Linked DNA regions of Struthio camelus. The protein of the gene in region 1 interacts with the protein of each later gene in a biochemical or structural test. Links are inferred from orthologs where the notes say so. Each region holds a gene or a part of one and is shown in the gene's direction. Other genes may lie near its edges. The genes, in order: LRP1, APBB1, PLAT and LPL.

What was found.
Region 2: the proteins of LRP1 (region 1) and APBB1 form a complex in vitro, tested with the Homo sapiens proteins (2 studies listed by BioGRID and IntAct, with this or other methods). The link is inferred for Struthio camelus from reciprocal best matches to the Homo sapiens genes LRP1 and APBB1.
Region 3: the proteins of LRP1 (region 1) and PLAT form a complex in vitro, tested with the Homo sapiens proteins (2 studies listed by BioGRID). The link is inferred for Struthio camelus from reciprocal best matches to the Homo sapiens genes LRP1 and PLAT.
Region 4: the proteins of LRP1 (region 1) and LPL form a complex in vitro, tested with the Homo sapiens proteins (3 studies listed by BioGRID). The link is inferred for Struthio camelus from reciprocal best matches to the Homo sapiens genes LRP1 and LPL.

Annotation. Positions count from the first base shown.
Region 1 is NC_090969.1:285,936-293,928, reverse strand, and holds the start of LRP1 (prolow-density lipoprotein receptor-related protein 1), read left to right. Parts: upstream 1-4,979; 5' UTR 4,980-5,054; coding exon 5,055-5,130; intron 5,131-5,668; exon of another isoform or gene 5,669-6,270; intron 6,271-7,993. UniProt on the Homo sapiens protein: Endocytic receptor involved in endocytosis and in phagocytosis of apoptotic cells. Required for early embryonic development. Involved in cellular lipid homeostasis.
Region 2 is NC_090942.1:225,072,454-225,080,467, reverse strand, and holds the start of APBB1 (amyloid beta precursor protein binding family B member 1), read left to right. Parts: upstream 1-5,003; 5' UTR 5,004-5,068; coding exon 5,069-5,687; intron 5,688-7,500; coding exon 7,501-7,691; intron 7,692-7,769; coding exon 7,770-7,826; intron 7,827-7,901; coding exon 7,902-7,987; intron 7,988-8,014. Other genes in the region: spidroin-2-like, read left to right, coding at 1,325-2,362, 3,397-3,465. UniProt on the Homo sapiens protein: Transcription coregulator that can have both coactivator and corepressor functions. Adapter protein that forms a transcriptionally active complex with the gamma-secretase-derived amyloid precursor protein (APP) intracellular domain.
Region 3 is NC_090968.1:7,903,052-7,909,893, reverse strand, and holds the start of PLAT (tissue-type plasminogen activator), read left to right. Parts: upstream 1-3,837; 5' UTR 3,838-3,961; intron 3,962-6,842. UniProt on the Homo sapiens protein: Converts the abundant, but inactive, zymogen plasminogen to plasmin by hydrolyzing a single Arg-Val bond in plasminogen.
Region 4 is NC_090982.1:12,935,655-12,942,668, reverse strand, and holds the start of LPL (lipoprotein lipase), read left to right. Parts: upstream 1-4,002; 5' UTR 4,003-4,040; intron 4,041-4,137; 5' UTR 4,138-4,270; coding exon 4,271-4,340; intron 4,341-7,014. UniProt on the Homo sapiens protein: Key enzyme in triglyceride metabolism.

The DNA of each region.
Region 1 (7,993 bases):
AGATTTTCCAGCGCACGAAACCCAGGTCACCCGGGCGCCGCTCGCGCTCCGGCACCACGTCCCGCGGGGAGGCGAAGGCACCGGACCGCGGTCCTGGGGCAGCAGCGCGGCGACGCCGGTCACGAGCCGGGCGCAGGGGCGCAGGCCGGCCACGGCGCACCTGCGGCGAAAGCCCTGCTGAGTCAGAGGGAGAAGAGCGTGAGCGCGCAGGTTTTTCCCCTGCGGACCTGCCCGACGTGACTCACAGCGTGGGAAGTCCAGGCTGGACCAAGCCCGCGGCTCGCGCCGCCGCGGGACCCCGTCCGCAGGACCCGCCGGGGCTCGGCGGCTCAGCGCCGCAGCGCGCCAGGAGGCACCGGCTGGGTGCTTTCACTTTGTCCCGGCGGCGGGGAGCTGGCAGCCGTGCCCGCAGGTGCTGGTGCTGGACTTTGGGCCAGGCTGCCGCGCCGCGCTGGCCCAGCCGGCGCTTCCACCCGCGCCTTCGGGGTCGGACCGCCGCGCAGGCGCCCACCGGCTCCGGCCGCATCCACGCGAGACGCTCCGGCCTCTCCACCCTGGGGCCCTGCAGGCCCCACAGCCCTGCCCCGAGGCCCGTCCAGGCCAGCCCAGCCGGAGGAGCAGCCGCTCTGAACCGAACCGAACCGCGCACGGGCAGCGCCCGGCCATCGTGGCACGCCGCGCAGCGTCCCGGGAGGCGAGCAGGAGCGCCGGCCAGGATCGCCGCTGGATTCCCCCGGCCCACGGGCAGCGCAGCCCGCAGCCGCCCGGCCGGCTCAGGCACGCCCTGGGGCTGGAAAGCTGCCTCTGGCGCTGCGGGATGCCCCGTCCTCGAGGGGCAGCTCCCCGAGCCCCGGAGCAGGGCCCTCCCGGCTGCTGCTTGCAGCCCGGCCTGGCGGGAAACCAGAGTTACGCGAGCGCGCCGCTGCTGGACGCCGTGCAGCCCCTCGCCCTGACCCCGGAGCCCCGGCGCGCGGGGCGGCAGCGCAGGGGCAAGCCCGGGGGCAGAAAAGCAGAAGAGAAAAGCGAAGCCCAGCTGCGCTCCCCCGGCGCAGAGAGGGCTGCGCGCGGCCCCAACGGGGCCGGCAGTGCTGGCGGGACGAGCCCATGACCGAGGGCAACTTCCCCCTTCCCCAGGCACGTCCCCAGCTGGCTGCAGCCAGCCCCCAGCTTCCTCCCTTCCTTCCGGGCAGGGGCTTTCGAGCCCGCACCCCCCGACCCCGGCCCGGGATGCTGCTCGGGCTGCAAACCTGCCCCGTGTTGCACCGCAGGCTGCGCCCCCCGGGCCGCCCGCCCGCCCCCCCCGGGCCGCTCCCGGTGCACCGACCCGCCCCCCCGGGCCGCCCCCCGGCCCGTCCCCCCGGGCTGCTCCCGGGGCACCGACCCGCACCCCCGGGCCGCCCCCAGCCCACCCGTCCGCCCCCCCGGGCCGCTCCCCCCGAGCTGCTCCCGGCGCACCGACCCGCCCCCCCGGGCCGCCCCCAGCCCCCCCGCCCGCCCCCCCGGGCTGCCCCCGGGGCCGGCGGGCGGCCGGGGAGGCAGCTGTGTCCCGCGGGGGCGCGCTGCTTTGGGGGTGAGCGCTCCCCTGGGGCTGCCCCCGGCCCCGAGCTCCCCGGGCGCCGCCCGAGCCCGGGGCGGTGCCGGCGCAGCCTGGGCCGCGTCCCCGGCGCTGTCCCGTCCCGTCCCGTCCCGTCCCGTCCCGTCCCGGCCCGGCCCGTTACCTGGCGGGGGCCCCGCGGGAGGCGGCGCGGGCCGGGGGCGGCCGGGGCCGGGCTCCCCGCAGCGGGCACCCGCGGCCGCCGCTCCGCCAGCGCCAGGAAGGGGAGGAGACGCCGGGGCGCCTGCGTGCGCGGCCCGGCCCGGCCCGAGCCGCGGCGGCACCGCCCGCACCGCCGGGGCCCCCGACCGGCCGCGGGCCGGGCTGCCCCGGGCTCCGCTGCCGCCGCCGGCCGGGCCCCGCGGCCCCCCAAGCAGGGACAGCAGCCTCCTGGCTGCGCCTCGCTGCGGGCGCGGAAGCCCACGCACACGCGTGACGCCGCCGCGCGCCCCTTCGCGGCCGCTCTGCTGCCCGGAGCGTGCGGAGCCGCGACGGTGCCGCGCGGGGCCGGGGAGGCAGCTGTGTCCCGCGGGGGCGCGCTGCTCTGGGGAGCGCATTCCTCTGGGGGGGCAGAGTGTTGGGGGGGCACTGTTTTGGGGGGCACATTGCTTTTGAGGTGTGCACTCCTTTGGGGAGCACAGTGCTTGGGGAATGCGCGTTGCTTTCGGGGGTGCACGCTGCTTTGGGGTGCACAGTGCTTTGAGGGTGCACACTGCTTTGGGGTGCACATTCATTTGGGAATGCACGTTGCTTTCGGGGGTGCACGGTGTTTTGGGGTGCACAGTGCTTTGGGGAGCACATTCCTTTGGGAATGCGCGTTGCTTTCGGGGGGGCACAGTGCTTTGGGGGGGCACAGTGCTTTGAGGGTGCGTTGCTTTGGGGAGCGCGTTGATTTGGGAATGCACGTTGCTTTGGGGGGTGCACATTGCTTTGGGGTGCACGGTGTTTTGGGGGTGCACAGTGCTTTGGGGTGCACATTCCTTTGGGAATGCACGTTGCTTTGGGGGAAGGCGCCCACGCGGGGCCGGGCGGCCCGTGGCCCCCCCGCGCGCCGCGGGGGTGCAGGGCCGCGGCGGGGCCGCCAGGGGGCGCTGCTGCACCGCCAGTGTCACCGACCCGGGGCGGGGGCGGTGCGCGAGCGCGCCGGGGCGAGCGGCCGGGGGGGCTCCTGCACCCGGACAGCCTCCTCGGGGGGGTGCACCCAGCTGGGCCCCCTCGGGGGTGCACCCCGCGCTGTCCCACGGGGAAGCGCAGTGCCATGAGGGTACACCCAGCTCGGCCCCACCAGGGGGGGCAGCACCCTGCACAGCCCTGTCCTGGTGCCCCCCCCCCCCCCCCCCCGCCCGCAGCACCCTGCTGCTCCAGGAGGGCACGTTTCGCTGCCCCGGCACCCCCAGGAGCGGCCAGGGCCAGCGGGACGGCCGCGGGGCCGGGGAAGGGTCCCTCGGGCCCGTCCACCCCCCCCCCCCGGCGCTGGGCACGGCGCGGCCCCCGGCCCGTCCCCCCCGGGGGGGGGGCGGCCGCGGTGCAGGCGTGGGAGGGCCCCTGCCCGGCGCCCTGGGGCTTGCACAACCGCTGGGGCCTCGGGGCGGGTGCAGCCAGCGCCCCAGCAACATCTGGGCCCTCCCGAACATCTGGCAGGCGGCCGCGAGGCAGCCGGGCGCTCTGCCCTGGGGCCGACCCCCCCGCGCCCTGGCAGCCCTGCCGCCTGGCCGGGACGGGGTGGGGGGGACGGCGTGTGATGTCACTCGGGGAAGGGGGCGCAGGCAGGTCCCGGCCCAGGGGCCCGGCGCCGTGCGGCTGCAGCGCTGCGGCTGCCCCGCGCGCCCCACTGTCCCCGCGCTGCCGCACGGCCGGGTGACGCGGCAGCTGCACGATGGCCCGGGGCCCGCTGCGATGGCAGAGCCGCCGGCGCGCTCCTGGGACGGGCTCCCCAGCCGTGGTGCTCGCCCGGAGGTGGGGACCCCCCGGCCTGCAGCTGCCCCCTCCGCCAGCCGGCTCCCCGGGGCCCTTCCCAGCGCTGCAGCCGTCGGCAGCGCGGCCCCGGCTCGCCCCGGCCGGCGCCGCAGCTTGCGGCGACGGAGGGTCACGTTCCCTGCAGGGGAAGGGGTCTCTGGGGAGAGCCGCCTCCGGCCGTGCCAAGGGGTGAGCGCCCCCCATGCTGCTCCCCCCGACCGGCGGCAGCCCCAAACCCGGGGATCGCAGCTCGGAGGGAGCAGGGTGCCCTGGCCGGGTGCCCTGGCCCCGCGCGTTCCCCCGGGGCACCTCCTGCCTGCGGGGGGACAGGGGCTTGCGGCATGCTTGCCCCAGCCCCCTGCCCCTATCCCCATCCCTGCCCTATGCCCATCGCACATTCCCATCCCCTATCCCCATCCCTATTCCCTGCCCCATCCCCATCCCATTTCCCCTCCCCATTCCCTGTCCCCATCCCTGCCCCATCCCCTTTCCCCATTCCCATCCCCATCCTCATTCTCATTCCCATCCGTGCCCCTGCTCCTACCCCCATTCCCCATCCCCCATCCCCGTTCCCATTGCATCCCCACCCCCATTCCCCACCCCCATTCCCATTCCCCATCCCCTCACCCCATTCCTTTCCCCTATCCCCATCCCCATTGCTATTCCCATTTGCATCCTTATCCCCTCACCCCATCCCCTCACCCCATTCCCCATCCCCTATCCCCATTCCCCATCCCCATCCTCTCGCCCCATCTCCATCCCCCATCCCCATCCTTTCACCCCATTCCCCATCCCCTATCCCCATCCTCTATCCCCATCCTCACCCCTTGCCCCGTTCCTATTCCCATCCCCATCCCCTATCCCCACCCATCCCCTCACCCCATTCCTATCCCCTATCCCCATCCCCATCCCTATTCCCATTTGCATCCTTATCCCCTCACCCCATCCCCTCACCCCATTCTCCATCCTCTATCCCCATTCCCATCCCCTATCCCCATCCTCATCTCCTCACCCCATTCCTATCCCCATCCCCTATCCCCATTCCCATTCCCCTCGCCCCATCTCCACCCCCATCCCCATCCTCAGCCCCTCCCGCGGGCTAGCGGGAGGGGGGGCCCCGCAGCCCCCGCACCGCACGCGCATGCGCACCGCGCGGGCGCCGCGCACGACCCCCCCCCACCCCGTCGGCGCGCGACGCCCCCCGCCCCCCGCGCGGCGGCCCGGGCCCGGTGACGTCAGCGGGCGGCGGCGCGCTCCATCCCGCGGCGGCGGCGCGCGCAGCCCCCCGCCCCCGCGGCCGCCCCGTCCCGTCCCGAGGGCGCCGCCGCCGCCGCCGCCGCCCAGGGCCGCGAGGCGGAGGGGCCTCGCTCGCCGCCCGCCCCGGCCCGGCCCGGCCCTCCGCTCCCTCCCCTCCCCGCCCTCCGCGGATGTCGGTGCGCGGGCCCGGGACGCGCCGCCCCGCGGGCACCACGGCGTGAGGAGCCGCCGCCGCCGCACCGCCGGCATGGGGCCGCCGCTGCCCCTCGCCGCCTGCCTGCTGCTGGCCCTGCTCGCCGCGCCCGCCGCCCGCGCCCTCGACGGTGAGTCCGCGCCCCGCCGGGCCGCCCGGCGCGGGGCTCGCCGCGCCCGTCGGGGCTGCCGCGGGGGGGGGCCGGGCCGGGCGGCGGCGGCAGCGCTCGGGGCGGGGGGCGCCGAGCCGCCTCGTGCCCCCCCGCCGTGCGCGGAGCCCCGCGGGGTGGGGGGGGGCGCGGACGGGGACGAGCTCCTCCTCCCTCGGCGAACTTTTCCCAGATTTTCAGCAAATAAAGCAAAATCCTCCCCCCCCCCCAAATATATCCCTGGCAGATAATTTCCCGTTCCTCTCCATTAGCTGCAATAACGCTTCGTTCTCCTCCCCTGGAATCAAACGGTCCCTCCCCCCCCCCCGCCCCCGGTAGCCGAGCAGGAAAGTTGTGACTCGCCGTCGCGGCCGGCGCTGCCGCCGGGCCGAGAGGCCGCGCGGACCCGGCGCCCCCGGCCGCCTCTTGCATAACGCGGCGCTGCGCGAAAGCGGCTCTGCCGGGCGCGGGGCCGGGGCCGGGGCCGGGGCCGCGCCGGTGGCACCCGCGAAGTGTTTACCGAGCGGCCGGACAGCCCGGCCGAGCTGCTTTTCCCTGCGCCGCGCACGTCCAGGCCCTGCTCTTATTGATCTATTCAGTAAATAGTTTTGCGAGCTCGTCAGCTCGGTGGCTGGTGCCTTTGCGCGCGCGAGGGGCCGTCGCTGGCAGCGCGAGCGCGCCGAGGAGCTGGCAGCGCAACAAATGCAGCTAGCGGTGAAGGAGTTCCTCGCGGCGTTTGAATGCGTGGGGCAGAAGGTTGCTTTTTCCCTTCAAAAGCACAGAAACGGGGGCTGTTCCCGGGCTCGCTTGCGACGTTTCCCTTCTATGGGTCCCCGCTGTGCAGAAGCGCCTGATGAAGGCAGGCGGGTCTGGAGCGGTTGATTGGTGAGGGGATTTTTTGGGGAAGGCTCTTCTGTCCCTTCCGGTCCCCCGCTTGGAGGGAGCCGGGCGAAGCTGTGGTTATTTGGTGGTGCGGCAGAGGCAGGAGCAGCGCCGGCCCGTGGCGAGGCCAGGCGGGCGAAGGCTCGATAACACCCCGGCCCCAAATTAACTCTCCTGCCCCCGATTAGCGGCCGGTGCTGCAGGAGGCTGCAGCCTCCGTTCCCGTCCCTCGCTCTGGGTGCTCGGTCCGAAGGGCGGAGGTGGCGGGAGGCGGCACGTGCAGCGCCGGCACCGAGGGCCCGGCGGGGTCCGGCTGCTCCCGCTGAGCTCGCCTGGCCCCCGCGTCCCCCAGACGCCTTCCCCTTCGCTGGGCTGCGGTTTGAAGCCGCTGAATTCGGGAGCTGGCGGGGGCGGGAGGGGCAGGCATCAGTCATCGCATAAGCGGTGTTGCCTGTGGAAACGGGCGACGGCGACGCGGAGCTCCTCTGCCCCGCTGCCCACCCGGCCGGGGAGCCACGGGAACCGGCGCGGGAAGCACCCCCTTCCTGCCGAGCGGCTGGCTGCGCGCCTCCCCGCGCGGGAGCATCTCCCCCTTGGGGTGTGCCCACCCCAGAAACCCTTCGCGTGGCCTGGCGGCAGGAGCGGGGTGCCGGGTGGGGTTCACCTGGGAGGTTGCAAAGGGGGTTCTGGGGAGCCCCGCTGCTTCCGGAGGGGCCGCTGCTGAATAAGGCACGGAGCTGGTCTCGGAGGCCGGGCGGCCCCGCGGCGTCCGCCGGAGCAGGGGTGCGCCGCGGGCAGGAGCGTGCCCGCCGCGGTGGGCCCTGCGGGGGGAATCGAGTCGCAGGGACGGCGCGGCGCGGACAGCCCGGGGCAGAGCTGGGGGTGGGCGCGGGGGTCCTGCCCTGCTCCGTGGAAAGGATGCTCCTTCCTTAGGCAGAGAGCGGTCCTGCGCCTGCCCCCCGAGCCTGCTCCCTTGGTGCACGGTGCTGGAAGCTGTTAATCCCTCTCTGGCTTTGGTGGTAGAAGAGATAGGAGACAAAGTCCAGCAGATGGGGTGGGTGGAAGAGCTTCTCCAGGGGGACAAAGGGCACTGGTCCACGGCTCCTGTCTCTGCAGGGCTCCTCTTCCCGCTTGCCGGGGCGTCAAACCTCCCTGGGCCCCGTTGCACAGTGAACCATGCTGGGGAGAGGCGGTGCGGGCAGGGGGGGATTGCTCCACTGCCGGTTTGGAAACCCTCATGTTTAGGGGCGGCAGGGGTGATCCAGCCTGTTGCTTTCCTCTCGCTGCCTTGGTGGCCTGGCCCATCTCATGTGTACGAGGGCAGTGCGTGTTGCACGTGCGTGTGCATGCATGCGCGCGCCCGCCCGCTTCCCCGAGTGCATCCGCACAGGGCCTGAGCCGAGCTGGGCTCAGCAGAGGTGGAGCGGCGGCGCAGCTTGGGGGCTGCTGGTGGAAGGAAGCAGGTGCTGCCGCCGGGGCCCCGGGTCGCGGGGGCAGGACGGGGAGGGTGCCCCGGCATCCTGCGCATGGCGAGACCCTCGCTCTGCAGTGGGCCTAGGGGGTGCACCTGGGAGCTCTCTGCTCTGCAGGAGGCTGTTCGCACTCTCCCAGCTCTTGGTGCTTCTGAAGAGTAAAACCACCCAAGTCTTTCCTTGTTCCTCAAAGGCCTTGGTGCCCAAAGCCTCCCCTTCCTGGAGGGGAACGGACTAGACTTTCACCTTAATTGGTTCCTCTTTGCCACCAGCCCGTACTTGATTTGCAGCTGCTGAGTGCTGGCTGGCTCTGCTTTTGGGAGCAGCAGTGGTTTGTCCCCTCACTACGGGAGCGGGGGCAGGCCTGGCTTTTCTACGTGCGGGGTCCAGAGCTGGAGGTGAGGGATGACGCTGCTTCCTGTTGGTGCTGGATGGAGATACGTGGAGGATTCACTGGGTGAGACCGGTTTTCTTCCCCCACTTTGAGCATG
Region 2 (8,014 bases), on another chromosome or scaffold:
CCATGCTGCTCTGGTCCAGTCGGGTCCGCTCCGGTCGGGTCCAATCCAGTCGATCCCGGTCGGGTCCGGTCCAGTCAGTGCTGGTCCAGTCTAGTTGGGTCTTGTCTGGTCCAGTCCAGTCAGGTCGGGTCTGGTCTGTCCCAGCCCGGTCTAGTCTGGTCCAGTCCAGTCAGTGCTGGTCCAGTCCAGTCTGGTCCGGTCCGGTCCAGTCCAGTTGGGTCGGGTCTGGTCTGTCCCAGCCTGGTCTAGTCTGGTCCAGTCCAGTCGGTACTGGTCCAATCCACCTGGTGCTGGTCCGATCCGGTCCAGTCGGGTCGGGTCTGGTCTGTCCCGGCCCGGTCCAGTCCGGTCTAGTCGGGTCCAGTCCAGTCCATCCCGTTCGGGTCTGGTCTGGTCGGGTCACAGAATCACAGAATGGCTGAGGTTGGAAGGGACCTCTGGAGATCAGCTAGTCCAACCTCCCTGCTCAAGCAGGGTCCCCTAGAGCACATTGCCCAGGATCGCGTCCAGGCGGGTTTTGAAGATCTCCAGCAAAGGAGACTCCACTACCTCTCTGGGCAACCTGTGCCAGGGCTCTGTCACCCTCACAGGAAAGAAGTTTTTTCTCAGCTTCAGGTGGAACTTCCTGTGGTTCAGTTTGTGCCCGTTGCCTCTTGTCCTGTCGCTGGGCACCACGGAGAAGAGGCTGGCCCCATCCTCTCGACACTCCCCTTTCAGATACTTATACACGCTGATGAGATCCCCTCTCAATCTTCTCTTCTCCAGGCTGAACAGGCCCAGCTCTTGCAATCTTTCTTCATGGGAGAGATGCTCCAGCCCTCTAATCATCTTGGTAGCCCTCCGCTGGACTCTCTCCAGTAGGGCCATGTCTCTCTTGTACTGGGGAGCCCAGAACTGGACACAGTACTCCAGGTGAGGCCTCACCAGGGCTGAGTAGAGGGGCAGGATCACCTCCCTCGAACTGCTGGCAACACTCTGCCTAATGCAGCCCAGGATCCCATTGGCCTTCTTGGCCACAAGGGCACATTGCTGACTCATGCTTCACTTGTTGTCCACCAACACTCCCAGGTCCTTCTCTGCAGAGCTGCTTTCCAGCAGGTCAACCCCCAGCCTGTACTGGTGCCTGCATGGGCTTATTCCTCCCTAGGGGCAGGACCCTGCACTTGCCTTGGTTGAACTGCAGCAGGTTCCTCTCCGCCCACCTCTCCAGCCTGTCCACGTCCCTCTGAATGGCAGCACAGTCTTCTGGTGTGTCAGCCTCTCCTCCCAGTTTAGTATCATCAGCCAACTTGCTGAGGGTGCACTCTGTCCCTTCCTCCAGGTCATGGATGAATACCTTGAACAAGACTGGACCCAGGACTCACCCCTGGGGGACACCGCTAGCTACAGGCCTCCAACTAGACTCTGCACCACTGACCACAACCCTCTGAGCTCAGCCATCCAGCTCTGCCATCCAGTTGGTGCCAGTCCGGTCCAGTTAGGTCCGGTTAGGTCCGGTCCGGTCCAGTCAGGTCGGGTCTGGTCTGTCCCGGCCCAGTCCAGTCTGGTCTGGTCCAGTTGGTGCTGGCCTGGACCGTCCCGGGCGGGTCCAGTCCAGTTGGTGCTGGCCGGTCTGGTCCAGTCAGGTCAGGTCTGGTCTGTCCTGGCCCAGTCTAGTCCGGTCCGGTCCAGTCGGTGCTGGCTCGGTCCGTCCCAGTCCGGTCCGGTTGGGTCTGGTCCAGTCGGTGCCGGTCCAGTCTGGTCCAGTCAGGTCTGGTCTGGTCTGTCCTGGCCCGGTCTAGTCTGGTCCGGTCCAGTCGGTGCTGGCCCGGTCCGTCCCCGTCCAGTCTGGTCGGGTCTGGTCCAGTTGGTGCCGGTTAGGTCCGGTCCAGTCCAATCAGTGCTGGTCCGGTCCAGTCCAGTCCAGTCGGTGCTGGCCCGGTCCGTCCCCGTCCAGTCTGGTCGGGTCTGGTCCAGTTGGTGCCGGTTAGGTCCGGTCCAGTCCAATCAGTGCTGGTCTGGTCCAGTCCAGTCCAGTCGGTGCTGGCCCGGTCCGTCCCAGTCCGGTCCGGTCGGGTCCAGTCCAGTCGGTGCCGGTCAGGTCTGGTCCGGTCAGGTCAGGTCCGGTCCAGTCGGTGCCAGTCCGGTCCAGTCAGGTCTGGTTCGGTCAGGTCCGGTCCAGTCGGTGCCGGTCTGGTCCAGTCAGGTCGGGTCTGGTCTGGTCCGGTCCGGTCCGGTCCAGCCCAGTCGGGCCCGGCCCGGTCCGTCCCAGTCCAGTCCAGTCGGGTCCGGTCGGCGCCCCGCCCCCCCGGAAGCGGAAGCGGAGGCCCCGCCCCCGCCCCCCGCCCCCCCTCCCCCGGTCCCCGCCGCGGAGCCGCCGCAGGTACCGGGCGGGCCGCAGCGGGCCGGGCCGGGCCGGGCCGCGGGGGCGGGGACGGGGGGGCTCCGCGGCGGCCCCAGCCCCAGCCCCGGCCCCGGGCGGCGGGCGGGCCCGGTCCGGCCCAGCGGCGCTCAGCCCGGGGAGCGGGGCGGGGGCTGCGGGCCGGGGGGGGCCGGGCTGGGGTCTTGGGGGGCCGGGGAGGGGGGCTGGGGGATCTGGGGGCCGGGCTGGGGTCTTGGGGGGCCGGGGCGGGGGGCTGGGGGATCTGGGGGCCGGGCTGGGGTCTTGGGGGGCCGGGGAGGGGGGCTGGGGGATCTGGGGGCCGGGCTGGGGTCTTGGGGGGCCGGGGAGGGGGGGCTGGGGGATCTGGGGGCCGGGCTGGGGTCTTGGGGGGCCGGGGAGGGGGGGCTGGGGGATCTGGGGGCCGGGCTGGGGTCTTGGGGGGCCGGGGAGGGGGGCTGGGGGATCTGGGGGCCGGGCTGGGGTCTTGGGGGGCCGGGGAGGGGGGGCTGGGGGATCTGGGGGCCAGGGAGGGGGTCTTGGGGGTCTGAGGGATCTGGGGGCAGGACAGGGGGGTCTAGAGGCTGAGGAGGGGGCTGGGCTGGGGGTCTGGGGGGTCTGAGGGCCAGGGAGAGGGTTGAGGGTCTTGGGGGTCTGGGGGCCAGGGAGGGGTTCTAGGGGGTCTGAGGGGTCTGGGGGCTGGACTGGGGGGTCTGGGAGAGCTGAGGAGGGGGCCAGGCTGGGGGTCTGAGGGCTGGGGAGGGAGCTGGTTTGGGGGCCTGGGGGGTCTGAGGGCTGGGGAGGGGGCTGGGTGGGGGGTCTGGGGGGTCTGAGGGCCGGGGAGGGGGCCGGGCTGGGGGGTCTGGGGGCCGGGGAAGGACCTGGGCTGGGGTCGGTGTTGCAGCGATGGGGACAGGGGTCTGGGGAGGGGCCCGGGCTGGGCCGGGGGTCTGGGGGCCAGGGAGGGGACAAAGGGCTGGGGAGGGAGCTGGGCAGGGGGCATGGGGCTTGGCCTACGAGGGCCATGGGGGCTGCAGGGGGGCGATGGCGGTGCCGGGACCCCCCCCATGGCAAAGCTGGGGGGCTCCACTGGGGCCCCGGGCTGACCCGGTGTGGTGTGGGGTCTGCAGCCTGAGCGGTGTCCGGGCCTGGCCCTATGGCTGGGGGGCAGCGGGGCTGGTTGGGGGGATGGCAGGGCAGGGCCTGGCTGGGGGGCAGCGGGGCAGGGCCAGGCCGGCTGGGGGTCATTGGGGCTGGGGGGGGGGCAGTGGGGCAGGGCTGGGCTGGGGGGGCAGTGGGGCAGGGCTGGGCCGGCTATGAGGCAGTGGGGCAGGGCCAGGCTGGCTGGGGGGTCATTGGGGCTGGGGGGAGGGCAGTGGGGCAGGGCTCGGCCGGGCTGGGGGGCAGTAGGACAGGGCCAGGCTTGGGGGTCAGTGGGGCAGGGCCGGGCTGGCTATGAGGCAGTGGGGCAGGGCAGGGCTGGGCTGGGGGTCATTGGGGCTGGGGGGGGGCAGTGGGGCAGGGCTCGGCCGGGCTGGGGGGCAGTAGGGCAGGGCCAGGCTTGGGGGTCAGTGGGGCAGGGCAGGGCTGGCTATGAGGCAGTGGGGCAGGGCAGGGCTGGGCTGGGGGGGGGCAGTGGGGCAGGGCTGTGAGGCGGTGGGGCAGGGCCTGGCTGGCTGGGGGGTCATTGGGGCTGGGGGGGGGCAGTGGGGCAGGGCTGGGCTGGCTATGAGGGAGTGGGGCAGGGCCAGGCTGGCTGGGGGGGGGCAGTGGGGCAGAGCCAGGCTTGGGGGGCAGTGGGGCAGGGCCAGGCTGGCTGGGGGTCATTGGGGCTGGGGGGGGGGCAGTGGGGCAGGGCAGGGCCAGGCTTGGGGGGCAGTGGGGCAGGGCCAGGCTGGCTGGAGGGGGGCAGTGGGGCAGGGCTGTGAGGCGGTGGGGCAGGGCCAGGCTGGCTATGAGGGAGTGGGGCAGGGCCAGGCTGGCTGGGGGGGGTCAGTGGGGCAGGGCCAGGCTGGCTGGGGGGTCATTGGGGCTGGGGGGGGGCAGTGGGGCAGGGCCGGGCCGGCTATGAGGGAGTGGGGCAGGGCCAGGCTGGCTGGGGGGGTCAGTGGGGCAGGGCCAGGCTGGCTGGGGGGTCATTGGGGCTGGGGGGGCAGTGGGGCAGGGCCGGGCCGGCTATGAGGGAGTGGGGCAGGGCCAGGCTGGCTGGGGGGGTCAGTGGGGCAGGGCCAGGCTGGCTGGGGGGGGGCAGTGGGGCAGGGCCAGGCTGACTGGGGGGTCATTGGGGTTGGGGGGGTCAGTGGGGCAGGGCCGGGCCGGTTATGAGGCAGTGGGGCAGGGCCAGGCTGGCTGGGGGGGGCAGTGGGGCAGGGCTGTGAGGCGGTGGGGCAGGACCGGGCTGGGGGGGTCAGCGGGGCCGGGCCGGGTGTCCGTGGGTCTAGCACCACCCCGTGGCCCGGGGGAGCGTGGGGGGGCTGCGGGCGAGGCGGGAGCGGGGGGGGGGGCCGGGGCGCCGCGCTCGCCCCCCCTGAGCCCGCCGTGCCCGCAGGCCCCATGGAGGCGGAGGCGCCGGCGCCCCGGGGCGCGTAGGAGCCCTCCTCGCCGGCGGCAGGCGAGAGCGGGCCCGGCCGCGTGGGGCCGCCCCCCGGCCGCGTGGGGCCGCCCCCCGGCCGCTGCCACCCCTGCCGGCGCCCCCCGGCCCCCGGCGCCATGTCGGGCTCCCTGGGCAAGCGGAGCGACCTGGCCAACGACAACAGCTGCCTGGGGCTGAGCCTGGCGCTGCAGGGCCCCCCCGGCCAGGCGCTGCCGGCCAAGGCCCCCCCGGGCTCCCCCAAGGGCCGCCGCATCTACGGCTGCACCGGCCTGCAGAGCGCCGTGGGGCTGGGCCCCCCGCCGGGCGAGGAGCCCGCCAACGCCAAGTGGGTGAAGGACGGGCAGAACCAGCTGCGCAAGGCGGCCGAGCGGGACCAGAACCGCAACGAGCTGGGCCCCCCGCCGCCGCCCCAGGAGCTGGAGGTGTCCGCCCGCAACGCCCTCAACGCCGGCTGCGGCCCCGGCCCCGGCCTGCTCATAGACCTGCGGGCCGGCGAGGAGGAGGAGGAGGAGGAGGAGGAGGAGGAGGAGGAGGGGGACGGGGGGGACTCCACGCCGGTGCAGAGCGACCCCGTGACGGCCGAGTCGGAGCAGAGCTCGGAGCGCGCCCCCCGGGAGCACGGCAAGAGCGCCAGCCTGCTCTTCGGCGTGCGCAGCAGCACCGCCAGCGACGAGGACTCCAGCTGGGCCACGCTCAGCCAGGGCAGCCCTGCCTGCAGTTCCCCCGACGACGCAGGTGGGTCTCGGCCCCCTCCCATCCCCCTGCCCCTCGGCCTGCCCCCCACCCCGTCGCTGTACCCCGGACCCTGCTGGCGGCCCCTGGGGCTCTCTACGCCCTCCTCCGGTCCCCGCTGTGGCTCTGCGCGCCCCGTGCCCAGCTGTACCCCCGGCACGCTGCGCGGTCCCCGCTGCGTCCCGCGACCGCGCTCCGGCTGAGCCCCCCCCGCCGTGACCCCAGCCCTGTGCCTGGCTGGGCCGTCTCCCCGTCCCCGCTGTGCCCCCGCGCACCCCGTCTCCAGCCGCCCGGCCCCCTTGCCGCCTGCCGCTCGCCCCGCGCTCTGCCCCTGCCCCCCCTCCCTGGCTGCGCGGCCCCGCTGTGCCCCCCAGCGCCCTCTCCCCGCACGGCCGCGCGCCCCCGTCCCCGTGGCCGCGCGCCGGCCTGTGCCGATGCCGTCAGTGGTTGCCGGGGAAACGCCTGCATCCCGGCGGTCCCGGCAGGTGAGCGCTGCGCCAGGGCCGCCGGCCGGCGCGGGGCGATGCCGGGCGCCCGGGCAGGGGGCGGGGGTCCGTTCCCCGCAGCGGCGGGCGGGGAAGGGTGCGGGGTGCCGACAGCGCGGCGCTCGTGCCCGGGGCGGGGGACACGGCAGCCGCGCGGGCCGGGGGCTCGGGGAGGTGCTGGCCGGCCAGCGGGCAGGCAGCTGGGGCAGGCGCTGCGCCGCGCGTCCCCCGCGGATCCGGCGGGAGGGCGGCGCGGCGGCCGGGGGGCGTGGGGGCTCTAGGCTGCGCTCTGGCCGGCAGCGTGCGGTCCCCGCCGGCGGGACCCCGGGATGGGGCGGTAGCGCCATGTACAGCAAGGACTACTTCCTGGCCATCGTCCTGCTGGACACGCGCCCAGGTAGGGGCTGCGCAGCAGGGCTGGGACACCAGGGCGGCTGCGCACAGGGGCTGGCGCCGGCGGGCCTGGGGGCTGCAGCACGGGGAGCCCTCCCTGCCCCGGCGCTTGGGCTGGTCTCTGTGTTCGGGGTGCCCCAGCGAGGGCATGTCGGGGGGGGGTGGGCTGCAGCACTGCCCCCCGGCCCTGAGGGTCCTGAGCCAGGACACGATGCCTGACTCACGCATCTGCCCTGTGGGACCCCTCAATATGGGGTACCAGTGCTCTGCTTGGCAGTGGGGACCCCTCTCTCTATGGCGGTCGGTGCCCTGCCTGGCCCTGGGACCCCCATGGTCATGGTCATGGGGGTCAGTGTCCTGCCTGGCCATGGGACCCCCATGGTCATGGCGATGGGGGGCTGGTGTCCTGCCTGGCCCTGGGACCCCCATGGTCATGGTCATGGGGGTCAGTGTCCTGCCTGGCCATGGGACCCCCATGGTCATGGTGATGGAGGAGTGGTGCCCTGCCTGGCAATAGAACCCGCATGGTCATGGTGATGGGGATTGGTGTCCTGCCTGGCTATGAGACCCCCATGGTCATGGTGGTGAGGGTTGGTGTCCTGCGTGGCCATGGGACCCCCGTGGTCATGGTGATGGCGGGTGGTGCCTTGCCTGGTCATGGGACCCCCATGGTCATGGTGATGGGGGGGTGATGCCTTGCCTGGCCATGGGACTCCCCATGGTCATGGCAGTGGGGGTTGCTGCCGTGCCTGGCCATGGGATCCCCATGGTCATGCTGATGGGGGGGTGGGGGCTGGTGGTCACCCTGGTGTGGAGGACCCCACCTTACTGGGCAATGGGGCAGGTGCCTGGTCCTGGGGGGCAGGGAGGCTCCATGGTGCCTGTAGGGTGGCTGTGCCTTGCAGGGGGCCCTCACCAGCCCTCCTCACCCCATCCAGACTCATTTTGGACCCGAAACTCCTTCGAGACGGACTCAGACCTGCCTGCGGGATGGATGCGGGTGCAGGACACCTCGGGCACCTATTACTGGCACATCCCTACGGGCACCACGCAGTGGGAGCCGCCTTCGGGGCTGGCCCGGGGCTCAGCACACAGCTCCCAAAGCAACACCCCGTCCGAGGAGCAGCCGGTGAGCCCTGGGGTGCAGGGGGGACGGGGTGCATCGCTTTGCTGTGCATTCACTGAACCGGCACCACTCTCTCCGCAGCTCGCCTGGACGGGCTTCGCCCCGGCTGAGCGCTTTGGCGATGGGGATTTCTGGAAGGTAAGAGGCAGCTGCAGGTTGAGGGGGGGTGCCTTGCTGTGCCCAGCTCCTGCCAGCCCCCTCTTCTCTTCCCAGGACACCGCAGCAGAGGAAGCAACTGATGAGCCTGGAGCACAGGATGCGGAGCCACCAGCCACGGGACTGGCCTCACCAGGCGTCAGGTGTCTGGAGCTGTGCAGGGACCCACT
Region 3 (6,842 bases), on another chromosome or scaffold:
AGGAAGTCCTTGGTTAAGCACAGAGTCTCTTCACCTAGTACCAAGTACCCATGTGAGAATAAGGAGCTGTTGCTGATAATCATTTTCAGCAACATATTTATAAAGCTTATTTATAAACTTATTTATAAAACTAAGACTTAGTAACTAATCAGAGTGAGGCCAGCCTAGGTGGAGAAGACAGCACAGGGTGAAACAGTACTGTTATTCAAATAACAGAGCTCAGAGAAGGTGCAGAGTGAAGTGACCACAATAAACTTGGCTTCTGGCATTAGACTGAACTTACTTATCAGGACAGAAATGCATCAATACATCCTACGAGAGGAGACGGAGGTTTGGCAGTCACTGCACTGAAAGAAGACAGTCAAGATCAGCTGCTCAACACATACCTTCCAGGACAAAAGCACATTCCGTATCCTGATTGCTCAGGAAAGCTGCTGCCCAAAGAGAGTGCCAGAAATCCTCCACAGCTATGGCAGCAAAGGATTGCCAGAAGGGGGACGCACAGACTTCTGACATGGTTATTGAGGTTTTGTTACCAAAAGTCCATCTCTAGAGAATGCAGGCAACTGGCGTCCCTGCCAGTAGCATCCATTTTCAAAAAAGTCTATCCTCCTTACTGCTAGAACACTTCATCAAATTACTTCTGTGCATCAAAACATTCAGACCTAGTCACAAGCAGAACAACGGCAGAATCTGAGTAGCTTTTTGCACGTACTTCAAGTAACGCTGAGAATAATCCCTAAGAGGATTTTGTATAAGGCAGAGGTACAGTGACTATAAAGCAGTGATCTGTGCAAATACTTTATTCATACCACAACATACTTCTTTCACCTTAGCAGACAGTGAACTTTCCCCCATGAAACCAGAAAATGGCTTCATTTTATATCTACATTGGTAGAGAGGTTCCAGCAAACGTGCAACAGAGGGGGCTCTTGAACTTAAGCTGCCTGGAGCGCTGCTCTCTTTACTGCCTTGTGCCCAAACTCTGCATGCTGCAAACACACACACACACACACACTCCAACAACCCCGAAAAGCCCAGCTCCAAAGAAAACATCCAACCCCATAATACTATTGTTTAACGCATTTAGCAATAAGCAGTATTGCAATTCACTGAGAGCTATACGCATGAGAGAACCTAACACTCTAGAGTCCGTCTTGTCAGATACCTATCTGCCACTCATGCAGATACCTATCTCCTGCTACCCTAGTTTCAATGTCTCACTCATCCATCACATATCATTATCCTGGGACACAGATTTCTACACCGAACGGTTTCATAAATATCATTTAAGATACAAAGCTAATGCAGAAAGATATGGCTAAGAGCAGCACCCTTCTTCAGGAGGGTGCAGTCTCTGACACACAGTTGCTTCAGCAGTGAGCATGCACCTTCCTCTCTAGAGAGAGCGGAGGGCGACAGGCAGCTCTTTGGAGCAGGACCGTGTTATGCTTGGTTTGATATGCTGACGTACACGTTTATAATGGGATATTCGAAGAAGCACAATTAGATTTACATCCAGTCTGGGCACCTCTGAATGTACTCTCTACCACTTAATAATAAAAATAAAGCTGGAACAGTTTATAGGTCTTCTACGTAAGACAAGTAACAAGTTGGATTTAGGACTGTCTGCATTTGGACACTTAAAACTGATTTTTAAAGGTATTTAGCTGTCTACCATAGGTGACAATTACTTGTTTTTAAAATATCAATCTAATCCTAATTATTAGTATGGACAACCATGCAAAGGGAAGCAACCTCAACATTGGTCTGTCACAGAGAGATGAAACTGTTGATGCAGTCTTTACTGTGATGAGGATAGCACATATACATGTGAAGTAATACTGTCTGTGAAGAAAAACAAAAAACAACTCCCCCCCAAAAGGCACCCCCCCCCCCCCCCAAAACATGAATTCCAGTGCTCTCAGCATCTCCAGAGATCACCTGAGCCCTTCACCAAGAGCTATGCACACTACCGGAAAAAGGCATAGCAGATTAAACTTTTCTCTAGAGATTAAAGTTCTCAACTTAGCATCTTTTAATGTTGTTAAATAGACCCGACCCCAACCTTCCAATTTCCAGGTTTGATATGTATTTAGTAAAGATGTTATGGTAGTTATAGTTAGGCAACGTACAGCCTGAACCAAAGTTGTCCCGAGTCCCCTCCAGACCTCCTACATGCCCTGGAGTTTGCAGCTGGTATGGAACTGAATGTAGAGGATCCACAAAGCATTTGAACAGTTGCATTCTTGATGAAGAGCGCCCAGACAACATCCTGACAGACTAGGCTCCACACTTCATCACTAACACGGTAGCCTGCAGAAACCCTGTCCTGAGAGAGGAGCAGCTTAGAGGTAAGCCAGGAGATGGTGGCTGTTATGTTGAAGCAGGAGACGCTTACTGCTGGCTTTCCTAAAGTATGTTAAGCACTACAAATGACACTTATACCACGCTCTCTAGTCAGCTGCAGAAAAATCTTTTTACAGGAAGTGTCCTTAAACACGAGCTGTGAAAAGCCAGGAAATAAAATAACTTTTTGAATCCTGTCCCCAACCACCACTTTGTTGGCATCTTTAATCTAGAAGTCCAGTAGCAAATAATTGGAATCTTTATAAATAACACAAATTAGCACCTGTTCTCTCTGCAGCGTCCAATCACCTTTTTCCTCAACAACCAGGAGTTCCCTGTGGTAACAGTCAATAACCAGGTGTCCCTAAATCAGTTTCATGGCAGTTACGTTACTGCTTGCATTGTGACTCTCAGAGAAACAAGTTATAAATTCTGACATAGATTTCCACACAGAGAAGAGAGAATCATTCAGGGTCACCAGTGTTTCCTTTTGCCATTGTGCTTAATAACCCTTGCCGAGTTTCCCAACAGGGGACTCTTGTGCAGCTATTTCCTGAAAGTGAAAGTCCCTCACGAGCTATTTCTTATGTCAGTGCTTACACTAAATTGTATCAGGAACCTCATTGCTAGCGAATCAGTTCCTAAAAGTTAGCACACATCTGTTACTGTAACCACTACATCACTGATACTTGTCATATCCCAGCCCTAAGTTCAGATCTAAAACTGATCATTTGTATTTGTCTGCCACACTTTGATATTGCGTACTGTATGCTGGTAAGTAGACTATCACTTTCTAAGCAATAAACCTTTAACCCTTTGGTCCTTACCATGATATTCCTCATTTCTAGTTAAGGATTCTTAGCAGTTTTGCTCACTGTCTGCATGGAACTTGAGGGCTCCACTGACAATTTCATCTCCAAGTGGCACTGCTCATGGCATGCTCTGCTCCACTTAGAGATCAGGCCAAAAATTCTCAACAGATATCATTCGGACACAGCACATCATGCTCCTGCTTGAAATGGGAGCTCCTCAGGTTTAAGACAAAGCCTACAAGTTGCAGACCTCTGATCACGTTAGAAATAATATATTCGTGCATTCACTGGGGCGCTGCTTGGGCATTTCTCCCCTCATGTTCCTAAAAGCATGAAGAAACAGTTCTTTATAAGGGATACATACTACTCTCCCTCTTCCTGAACCTTAAGATGTTAAACAGGTAGAAAAATTGTTCTAAGGACTGAATCTGCACTCTGACTGGAATAAAGAATGAACAAAACCAGTTGGCTGTAAAATTCAATATGCCCTACTACTTCAGCAAGCAACCTTTCTTCCTATCCTGTACCTCCCCCCCCCCCCAAAAAAAAAAAATACAATGGATGCAAGCCACCCTGTCCTAGGTCATCCCCACAGCCTGCCCAATATCTTCCCTCTGGAAGAAGAAAAAAATAAAAAAAAGTTTGCCCTACCGCCCTCTTCAGTCTCCACCCCCTTGAGTAGAGTTTTAAGTAGGATAGGAGCTGTTCAGAGAGATCAGAGCTGAGACGCAGAAAACACATAACCAGACTGGTCTGTAAAGGAAATCATCAGCAGAATACAGAAGAAGAAAAGTCAAAAGGTATGTGCTACTCTGCACCTGTTTCAAAACGCGTATTTCCCATTTTCAACATCAATGGCATTGTTATTAAATACTACTAAACATTATTATTTAATAATTAAATATCATGGTGCTTTAGTGGCATTACACTGAGCTATTGCCTTTCAGCGTCTGAGGAGATTTAAAGCTGCTAGTTTTCAGTTGTTTCAAGAAAGCCTCAGCAAGCTATTCCATGGAAAGGGCTGACAGCCTCAGGCTCTGACCAGTTAGCAGGGAGGAGTCTCCTGCACAGAGAAAATTTAGCAAAAGAACTTCATATCAAAGAAGGCTTGTAAACAAACGTCCTGATGGTAAGGAGAGACCCGGAGAGCCAGCTGTGAAAGGATTATTTATTGTCTTCCTGGGAGGAGATCAGACTATGCATTTCTCCCTAGGCTCCCAACCAGGATAATGGAGGGACAGAGAGGAGGAGGGCGAGTCTTCTTCAGTTCTCTCTGAAAACCCTCCTTTCAAATGCAGCCAAAACCACAGGAAATATTGAGAGTGATTCCCAAAAGGAAGCCGGACTTTGAAATAGTCATTTCCTCCAATGCCTTCAAAGACTTCAGACTCTTACTATTTCTTTTATTTCTTTTCTCCAAAAGGAAAGGTTTGTCCGCTGTCATCCTTTAAAGGGAAATAGTAAAGAGTCCAAATATCTTCTGCTCAGTTCAGAAAACGGATATAGCAACACTTTCTCCAGAAGGCAGGAAAAGACAGAAAGGATCTGCAATCCTTTATTTGAACTAATTCAAGATAGTGGTCCATCAGGAAGAAAACCATTAGTGCTGTAGATTCAGAATCAAAGCAGTATTCTCTAATGGACAGATCTGGGTCACTGCAGGGGAGGGATTTAGGGGGAGCTGTTTTTAATCTCTGTTCTACTAATGACTTTTGTGTGACCTTGGTAAGATGCTGTTCGTTTGGGGTTTTTTTTAAGTTCTTTTTCTACATCTGTAAGATAACACTCATATCCTTGCTGCTGAGAAAGGCTGTTACTAAAAATAAAATCATTAAGAGTTAAAACTTGAGATTTAAAGTATCCTTGCTGATGATGCTTCAGCAGAGGTAATGCATCTGCAGCATTCCTTATCAGGTTGATTCCATGCCTGTACCGAGTTATATGCTACTAACTCAATCCTTGTACCATGTGTGGCATCTCATGAGTTGCTGGTCTGCTTGATTAGCATGGAATAAACCATCTCCAGTAAAATGCTATAGCGTATTGGTTGCAGTATGTTTGTTCAGCTTACTCCCCTACGTGTTGGCTAACATAAAGGTCAATAGGAAAAAGATTTGTATAGCACTGGCTCTTCTAAGAGTAGAAAGCTCTCACTACAAGGCCTAGGCATTCACTGTAGCAATTCACTCCATCCTTTAAAATCTTGATCCATTTTTAAAACATATTTTAGCCAAACCTCCAAATTCATCCTCCTCAGCTCCATTTCCCCCTTCTGTCTGTTTCTCTTGTTAAGGAAACTATTTCCTTATTACACACATGCTTGCTCAAAGTCTAATTATGAACAAAACAAGCAGCTTCTAATTCATGTTGAATTCCAAAAGAATTAAGTGTAACAGCCACTATACATTCAGGGTATCATATGCCTTTATGCCCTAATATACCTGAAAGTATAGAATCAAAGACTTTTTGCTGGATTATTTCTCCATCAAAGAGGAAGCAAAGGGTCAGAGCAGCAGGCACAGACTGTTTAGCAGAGCTCTATAAGAAAGAGTATTGCTAGTAGGTTTCTGCTTGCAGTCTTGTAAACACAGTATTTTTCAAACAGCCATATGGTGTCAGTTTGATAGGGCTTATCGTTCAAAACATTTCAGTTGTCTGGCATAGGTTCTACCTTTCCCAAAGATGAGACTAGAAAGATACAGCTGTCAACAGATGTTACCAACTTTCCATGTATACTGGGACGCCAGCCACAAATGGATGGACAGGCATGGGAGGAGAGAGGAGGGTGGAAAGGTTGTAGCATTATAATACCAGCTAGCCTGAACTGGGGCAGCAAAATTAAGCGGAGGAAAGGATGCAGTATTTGACGCATGGTAACTGCAGCAACACAAGCTGTAGCATTCTGCAGTATAAGCACACAACAGCATAAGATTAGAACGTGCTTGTGCAGCAGACTATACGGGATAAACTTGATTATAACATTCAGTTCTTATTCCAAGTCACTCAGGTGCTTTTCAAATAGGGATTTCTCCTTTCAGTCTCTAAGACTTTTCTTTTTTCTTTTCTTTTTTTTTTTTTTTTTTTTTGGTGAAAGCAGGGGTTCCCCCCCCCCCCTAAAACTAGCTATAGTTCCCACTGGTTTCAGTCATCTTGGACTCCCTCCAAGATATTAGATAGGCTGGCTTTGCCACTCTGTCCTGCAAAAATAAATAAATAGATAAATTCAGACTTCACCAATGTTGACTTATTTTGGGTATCTTAATGTGTACCTCAGAAACAAGGTCTCAACAGTTCTTTATGGTGCTTCCCAGAGAGAAATTCTAACAAAACAGTTCCTCTCAAATTTGAGTGTCATTTAATGAATCTTTCCTTAAAGAGGTCTTAGCTAGCAGAATCTCATTCTTAAAGCTGTCAGTGAGAGATTCCAGCCTCCCTCACAGATGGCAGCAAAAATAACCAGTGGTACTAACGAAGAGCAATTGAAAACCTTGCAGCTGTGGGATTCAGAACATGTCCGCGCATAGCTCTGGTAATGGGCAACAGCTGCAGGAATTGAGGATAACAGCAGCAACCAAGTGACTTCTGAGAAACAGTTTAGATCTTGCACTGCATCTTCAGGAACTTCACTGATTTAGTTCAGATTCAGCTAGAACAGTCCTGTGAAGTAATGCCTACTTGAAA
Region 4 (7,014 bases), on another chromosome or scaffold:
GCCCCACGACCAATGGGTGGGGAGGTGGCCTCCACTCCCCTACCGGCCGCCCCAAAAGGGGTGCAGGAATGTCACTCCCTCGGCGTTGCATTTTGAAAGACACGTCTGGCGAGACAGCCAGCTGACTTTGGCAGGCAGTACCAGCAGCGTGATAATTAATTAAAGCACACTGCAGCGCAAGCCTACTCTGCAGCCAGTTCTGCAGCTCCCTAGCAGAGCGGGGTGTCTCACTATAGCTCGTACCTCTTTATTCGGGAGAGTGGGCAGCTTGCGTCTGACGCTGAAAATAAGAGAGCAGGATGAAATGAAATGAATCCTGGTGATAACCAGCAAGAAGTGGACCTCGTCTGCAAGATGAGGCAACCTGGGAACAGAACAGCAAGTCCTACCACAGTAGTAGAAAGGGTAGGAAACCAAGACTGCTAACAGTCGTCCTCCATAGGAGATTTCTTCCTCCTGTTGCATGGGTGACGTTGGTCACCCAAGGCAGGCAAGAGTGCAGGAGGAGCAGGTGCCCCTGTTGCGGGCAGAGCCGCAGCCGCAGCACAGCTCGCTGCCTTTCATTGACTCCCGTTGAGCTCTTCAGGCACCAACAAAGTGAAATTGCACGGGACTGCGTCGTCAAACAGACACCCAGGCAGCCCCTGCTGAAACCCTTCCCGCAGCTCCCACCCGCGTGACCCTGCCCCGTCCGACCAGCGCCTCTGCCCCATGCTCGCCACCCCCGCTGTGATTTGTCCAGGGTGGAAAGGGAGGCAAGACCGTGCCCAAAAACACTTACAGATCAGCTTTGATGGGACAGGCTCGCCAAGGACCACCCAGTCCCTGTTTGTGCCTGGATGGCTTGAGGACATGCTGTTCCTCCCTCAGAGCACATCAACGATCCTCAGCCCTGGACTGGAGGGTCTCCACTGCAGGTGGAGTCGTGCCCACAACCCAAATGTCATTGTGGGCAAAGGCTGGGAAGGGCCACTTTTATTCCCAAACTGAAATTTTGTTAGAAATGGCTGGTTTTCATGAGAAAGGGTTTTTCAAAAATATTTCATTGGTATCTTTGAAAAAAATATATTTATTGTTATTTACTCACATAGAAAACACATGGAACCTCCTTCTGAGTTTTTTGATGTAATTTCCCTTGTTTTCCTCCATTCAGGAAAAGACAAAATTTAAATATTTATAAAATGTAAACAAAGACTTCTTACTTATTTGCATTTCCTAAGGGGAAAGAAAGCAAGAGAACAGTTTTTTTGCTTGTTTCTGAGCAGAAGTCTTTCTTTAGAAGACCTCTCATCCTTAGCTTCTGAGCCTTTTGTTAGAAAAGGGTTAAAGCAACACAGAATTTTTCACAGTTACAGTTAGTTTCTCTGCTCTGGTTTTTACACTTTTGCCTGGTGTTTCAAGCGCTCTTTGGAACATTGCTGTGTAAACAAAATTTTGGTGTTGAGTATTCTCTCGCTCGCAGTCGAGTCCGTCTGGTGAATTTGCTCAGGGTTTCTTGCAGCTGCACCACACAAACCGATGCTGCCTATGCTGTCTTGCGGACTCTTGCTGGCTTGTTTTGACATTAACCTTCTACATGGTCGGTGGGTGCAAGTACCAGCCTAGTTATGCAATTCCTGTCTCCATTCCTCCTGAACTTTTTCCCCCTCTGGATAGAAACAATGTATTTTAGTTCTCACTGTTACCTTCTACCCACTTGGGAATCCTCTGGTATTATAAATTAGGCTCTGTTTTATGGATGGAGCTTTGGTTTCCCTTATAGGATTATTTATTTTGCAGAAGAACCAAAACTCATATCCACTATTAACTGCACTGAGGCGCATTCAAGTTGATGCCTCAAAGGTTCTCCTTGGTCTGATTACCATTACCTGCAAGGGAAAGAACATTTTTAAATGTCGGAGAACGTGCTATGTCAGAACAGTGCTACTGCAGATTGCTTAGTGTTTAGGAATGCTTTCTGCCTTCATGAAGTCCCATATATTTCAGATTATTTTGCAGCTCGGTTTACAGCAGACTTGGACAAGTTGTTCAAGACCGGGAAACCGGAAATATCCCACCAGGCTTTTTTTTTTACTATATGGAAGTTTTCTATTTGTGTTTTGTTTTTAATTTTCCTTCTTTATTTTTAGGTGGAGACTTTGCACAACGCTTTCAGACTATATCTTAAGATGAGGCGTGGGCATGACAAGGAACATAAAATTATGCAAGCAAGCATTTTCCATGTAACGACTCAGTTTTTATTCTGAGTAGTTTGCAAATCTGCTGCCTGCTCTTGCGACTGATAAGTTACAAGATTTGTGTTGGGAACAAATTGAAATTCTGATTCCAGCCTGTGGATCTCCAGAGGTTCGTAGGGGCCAGTAGACCACCCAGGGCTGACCAACCAGGCATTGCTACTGCTCTTTTCCACCTGCTTGATCTGATCCAATTAGCAGTTAAAATTAAATTATTAGTCTTCCTACAGTTATTGTCTGAACCTAGATAGAGTCAGACAGATTTCTGGGGGCAAATTACGCTATAGAGTTTCAGCTGAATGGGACCAAGAGAAAGCGCATTGTTTAGTCAATACTGAATAAAAATAAAAGAGAGAGAAAAAAAATTTGCCATCGTTTTGATCAGACGTGACTCGCTGATTTATCAAGAGCAAGATGCAGCTAGCACAAACCCCATTTGTCATACCACTATACTCCTCTGGCAAGGCAGACTTGTCTCTCCCCTTTCCCCCCAGCCTCTCACCTCCTGTCTACCCCACCTTCTCCCACTCACCCATACAGAGGTTAGCACCCTAGCCCAGTTGTCTCAGTTGGAAAGTAAGTCTCAGCATGCTCAGTCACACCGTCATTAAATTCTTTCTTTGCCTTTTGGATATAAATAGGAGTTAGTAGAGAAGGAACCTCGTGCTTTGTCCTGGGGAAGATGTATTCTCTCTTAAAGGTCTTATTACTCTTCCTATGAAATCTAAAGTTGCAATGGTGACCTCTGTCCTGCAGTGCTGAAGTAACCTTGTATTGAACATCCTCACTAATATGAATCAGAAGAATCAGTCATACCCAAAGGGAATCCCATTTGTTCCACCTTGCACAAACCAAGGAGTTCTCGTTCCGTGTGTTCAAGGCTTCTTTATGAAACTGGGGCTTTGACAAAGCACCGCAGAATGAAATAAAAATTGGTCTTGTCATTAACTTAATATTTCTTTATTGCAAGTGCTTACATAACTGATCTTTCACCCTGTGGCTAACAATGGAAAGCTGCTTGCAAACCATGTTGCTGAGAAAAGGGCACTGAGAGTTGAACAGCTCAGAGATGTAACTTTGCATTTCTCCAGAGTACAGATGCAGTCTTTAGGGTATTTATTTACACCTCAGACTTGTACTCCCTTAAGCACAGGCAAAACAGGATTTTGGCAGGGGCTTTTCAAGTGAACAGCAGAAGGCCCATTGCAGGTGCTGGATTACGAGTGCAATTAACAGTTGGTTCTTGGCACAAAAAGGTGGACGACAAGGGAGATCTTGTTGCATGCACAGAGGAGTTAGGACAGGGAAGAAATGCAAAGCAAAAGGAAGAGTAGCACGGGTGAGCCCCTTGGCTGATGCCCACACCGCAGCGAAACGGCAGGGCAGAGCGGGCCCTTCAGGGGGCAGGTGCCACAGGACAAGGAGAGAGCGGGGCAGATGTGGGCACCGCTGTGCGCTGCCTGAGCTCCTGGGTCTCGGCCATCCCTCCCTCTGAGAAACTCCTGGGACCCCGCACGAGAAAAGCATCTCAGAAGGGGGCTGTGGGGAAACCGTGCCGTGCCATGCCGTGCCGTGCCGTGCCGTGCCGTGCCGTGCCGTGCCAGGCTGGACCGTGCTGTGCCGGGGCGGTGGGGCCCCACGGGGCTGCCTCGCCCCCCACCCCCGGCTCCGGGCAGCCCCGGCCCCGCCCCTCGGCGGCTCGGCCAATGAGTGCAGGGCTCATTTGCATATTTGCATATCGGCGGGGACATAAGGGCCACCGGGGAGCCGCGGTGGCAGAGGGGGCGCCCGCCTGCCGCAGCCGGGGTGCTTTGCTGGGAGAGGCGGGGGGGGGCAGCTAATTTTTTTTTTTCCTTAAGTGAGCTTAATCTGTTTTTATTTTTTTTTCTTTTTCGCTTTGCAGCTCTTCTAAAACTTTTTCCCCCCACCCACCCTCCCACTTATTTATTTATTTATTTATTTCCCCCCTTCTTCTTCCCTTGCACCGAAACTTTTGCGCCGCGCCAGAGAGCGAGGAAAGCGAGCGAGGAGGCGACATGGGGCGGGCGGCGCTGCTGGCAGCCCTCTGCCTCTGCCTGCGCTGGGTGCCGGCGGCCGCGGCCGAGGGTGAGTGGGTCCCCAGGGTGAGTGGGTCCCCGGCCCCGACGGGGCGGCGCGCGGGCTGCGCGGCGGGCGGGCCGGCTGCAGGCACTAGTGTCGCCGCCGTGGTGGGGAAGAGGGGTTGGTTTTTTTTTTCCCCGCTCGGGGAGGAGGCTGGCGGGGGGGGGAGGGGGGAGGTTTTGGGCAGGGGGGTGCTGCTTGCCCCCCGGGGGGCCGCAGGGAGCCCCGCGTCCCCACTTCCTACCCTTCTCGGACCCTAGGAACTGCGGGGTCTAGGGCACACGGCTGAGTTTCAGCCGGGGCATGGCACTGTAGTTGTAGTTAATGCCTTTCCTGCAACAGACTGTATTAAGAAAAAAGCTAACAAAGGGATGGCTATACCCTAACAGGGTCCACATATGTGTACTTTACTACATATATGTGCATCACTATGCCTATGCAATACCTGTTTTATATATATGTATAGGCACCCCCCAGGATATAGAAATTAGAGCATCTACACACAGTGAGTAGTAGATGCTCACTAATACTCTCTTGGCTAATCCGTGAGAAGATTGCAGATTTAACAAGCAAAGAAGCTGGTTATAACAGTCCTGCAGTCCTCAAATTTATGATAGCAGTGCCCTGTCAAGGTCTCGCTTTCTTAGATATTGTGTGTGAGAGATTAGTGTATCTTTAAAAGTCCACACTGTTAGAAGAAAATGTGGATGTATCTGTTATAGCCACAAAGTGAAACTAAAGTGGAAAATAGAGTCTGCTGCTTTTTTCACTGTGGATGTTTCTGTTATTTGCTTTCTGCATAAAGAAGCTGGAGGGAAGTATTCAGAAGTAAGGGGATGGGGTGCTAGGGCACAGCCAGAGGAATGTATTCTCGTATTAAATTCTATCTTGTGCCATCAGAGGCAATCAAAAGTGATTTTCATCAAAGTGTCTAAGTTTCATAAAGTGAGATAACTTTTTCTGAGCAAGCTTTCATCCCTCTAGGAACTGCTTTGCTACAGAGCCTTTCTAATGATTGTATTAGTTCTCCATGGAAACAGGTTGTATGAGAACAGGTTGTGTGACCGTCCTAAAACTATCTAAGCCTCAACTCTCACTCTTATTTCTTGCTCACCATAGTAAAAAGATGTTTTGAAACCATGGAAAATACATGACCCAACCCTCCAGGAATCCAGAGTCTTTAATAAACAACATTAAAAAAATCTTCTAGGTGAAGATAACATTGGTGTTCCAGGAAAAGATAACATTTCTGGGAATGCATTCTGTTCTCTATTTTTACCGGTGTAAATCCAGAGTCAGGGGTTACACCAGATTTACACTGTTGTGTGATGTGCGCTGCCAGCTTGTGCTACGGCTGTTTGGGATAGACCTACCAGAGCAGCTGTGGCATGGTGTTTCCAGCAGCAATGCATTTCTGAGACCGAGCAGAGGTGAGGCATCCAGGCTATCCAAAGTGTGCTGGAGAGTAGCATCAGGATAAGCGCTCATAAGGAAGCTTGCTGGAATTTCTTAGGTGTAGGAATTTCTTAGGTGCTTGCATGGTGTGGCTTTCTCATGCCTCCTTTGTACTGTAAAGTTGACAGTGATTGTATTTTCTTGTCTTGGGCTAATTCCAGATACCCCAGAGGGACTGATGGATGGCAAGAGCTCTGCTACTAAATTGATTGAGTTACAAGCCTCCCAGCTGCAGCTGAGTAAGCATCTGCTGGACAGGGAGCGCCTCGGCCGTGGGGCAGGCACCCACGTGCACGGTGGCAGAGCGGGGGTTTGCCTCACACCACCAGTTGCGGGGCTTGAGCAGGCAGGTCCCCACTCAGCGCCTAAGCTTAGGGCCCGTGGCTTTTCAGAGGTGCTGGTCTTTCCACTGGCTCTGCCTGGGAAATGTGGGAGAACTTGGGCTCAGAGCTCTGCTGTTAAGGAAGACATAAATAAACTGGAAGTCGAATTTCTGTCACAGCAAAGTTAAACAATAACCTGACTTATGGGGTAGGTTTTATGGGATTGCAACACAGAAGTCTGATTTCAGTTTATAGAAAATATCAAATTAAACAGTAACACCTTCTGTGATACAGTCCCTTTATTACAGCTGTCTGAGTTTGCTTGAGACGCCATGCAGGAATTCAGTACGACTGATGCCTTGCCATAGTGCCGGTTATCATCTGGAGGACAAGCTATTTCAGTTAACTCCAGCTGTTTCTGTAAATGTTTGACTTGATGTGCAGATATGTGCCTCTGTGGCTGTGTGTGTGTGTGTGTGTGTGTGTGTGTGGACTTCCGTTTACATGGGCAAGCAGTCTAATTTCTGATGTTTGTTGCACCTAGCTGATAGTATTTTCATTTTTGTGTAAATAACATGAGGAAATTGTTGTTTGTCAAAGTTTCCCTGTTAAATTCACAGTTCAGATGCACTGATTTTGGCAACTGCATTATTATGATTTTTGGCCGCCTGTGTCTGAGGCTGGCAGTTTAATTTTTGCTTGATATTCCAGATGCTGTTATTCCTCAGAATCCAAGTTCTCCACCCAGCTGACTAGTGATAAAGTTTCCTTCATGAAAATCAACTGCAAGACTGTCTTAGATTTCCCATGAAGGAAATTTGAGGTTGAATTCTCTTCTTGATTAGGGTGTAAACTTGCATTTACACTGTGTCAGAATGCCTAAAGTCAGTGGGGTTCTTTGC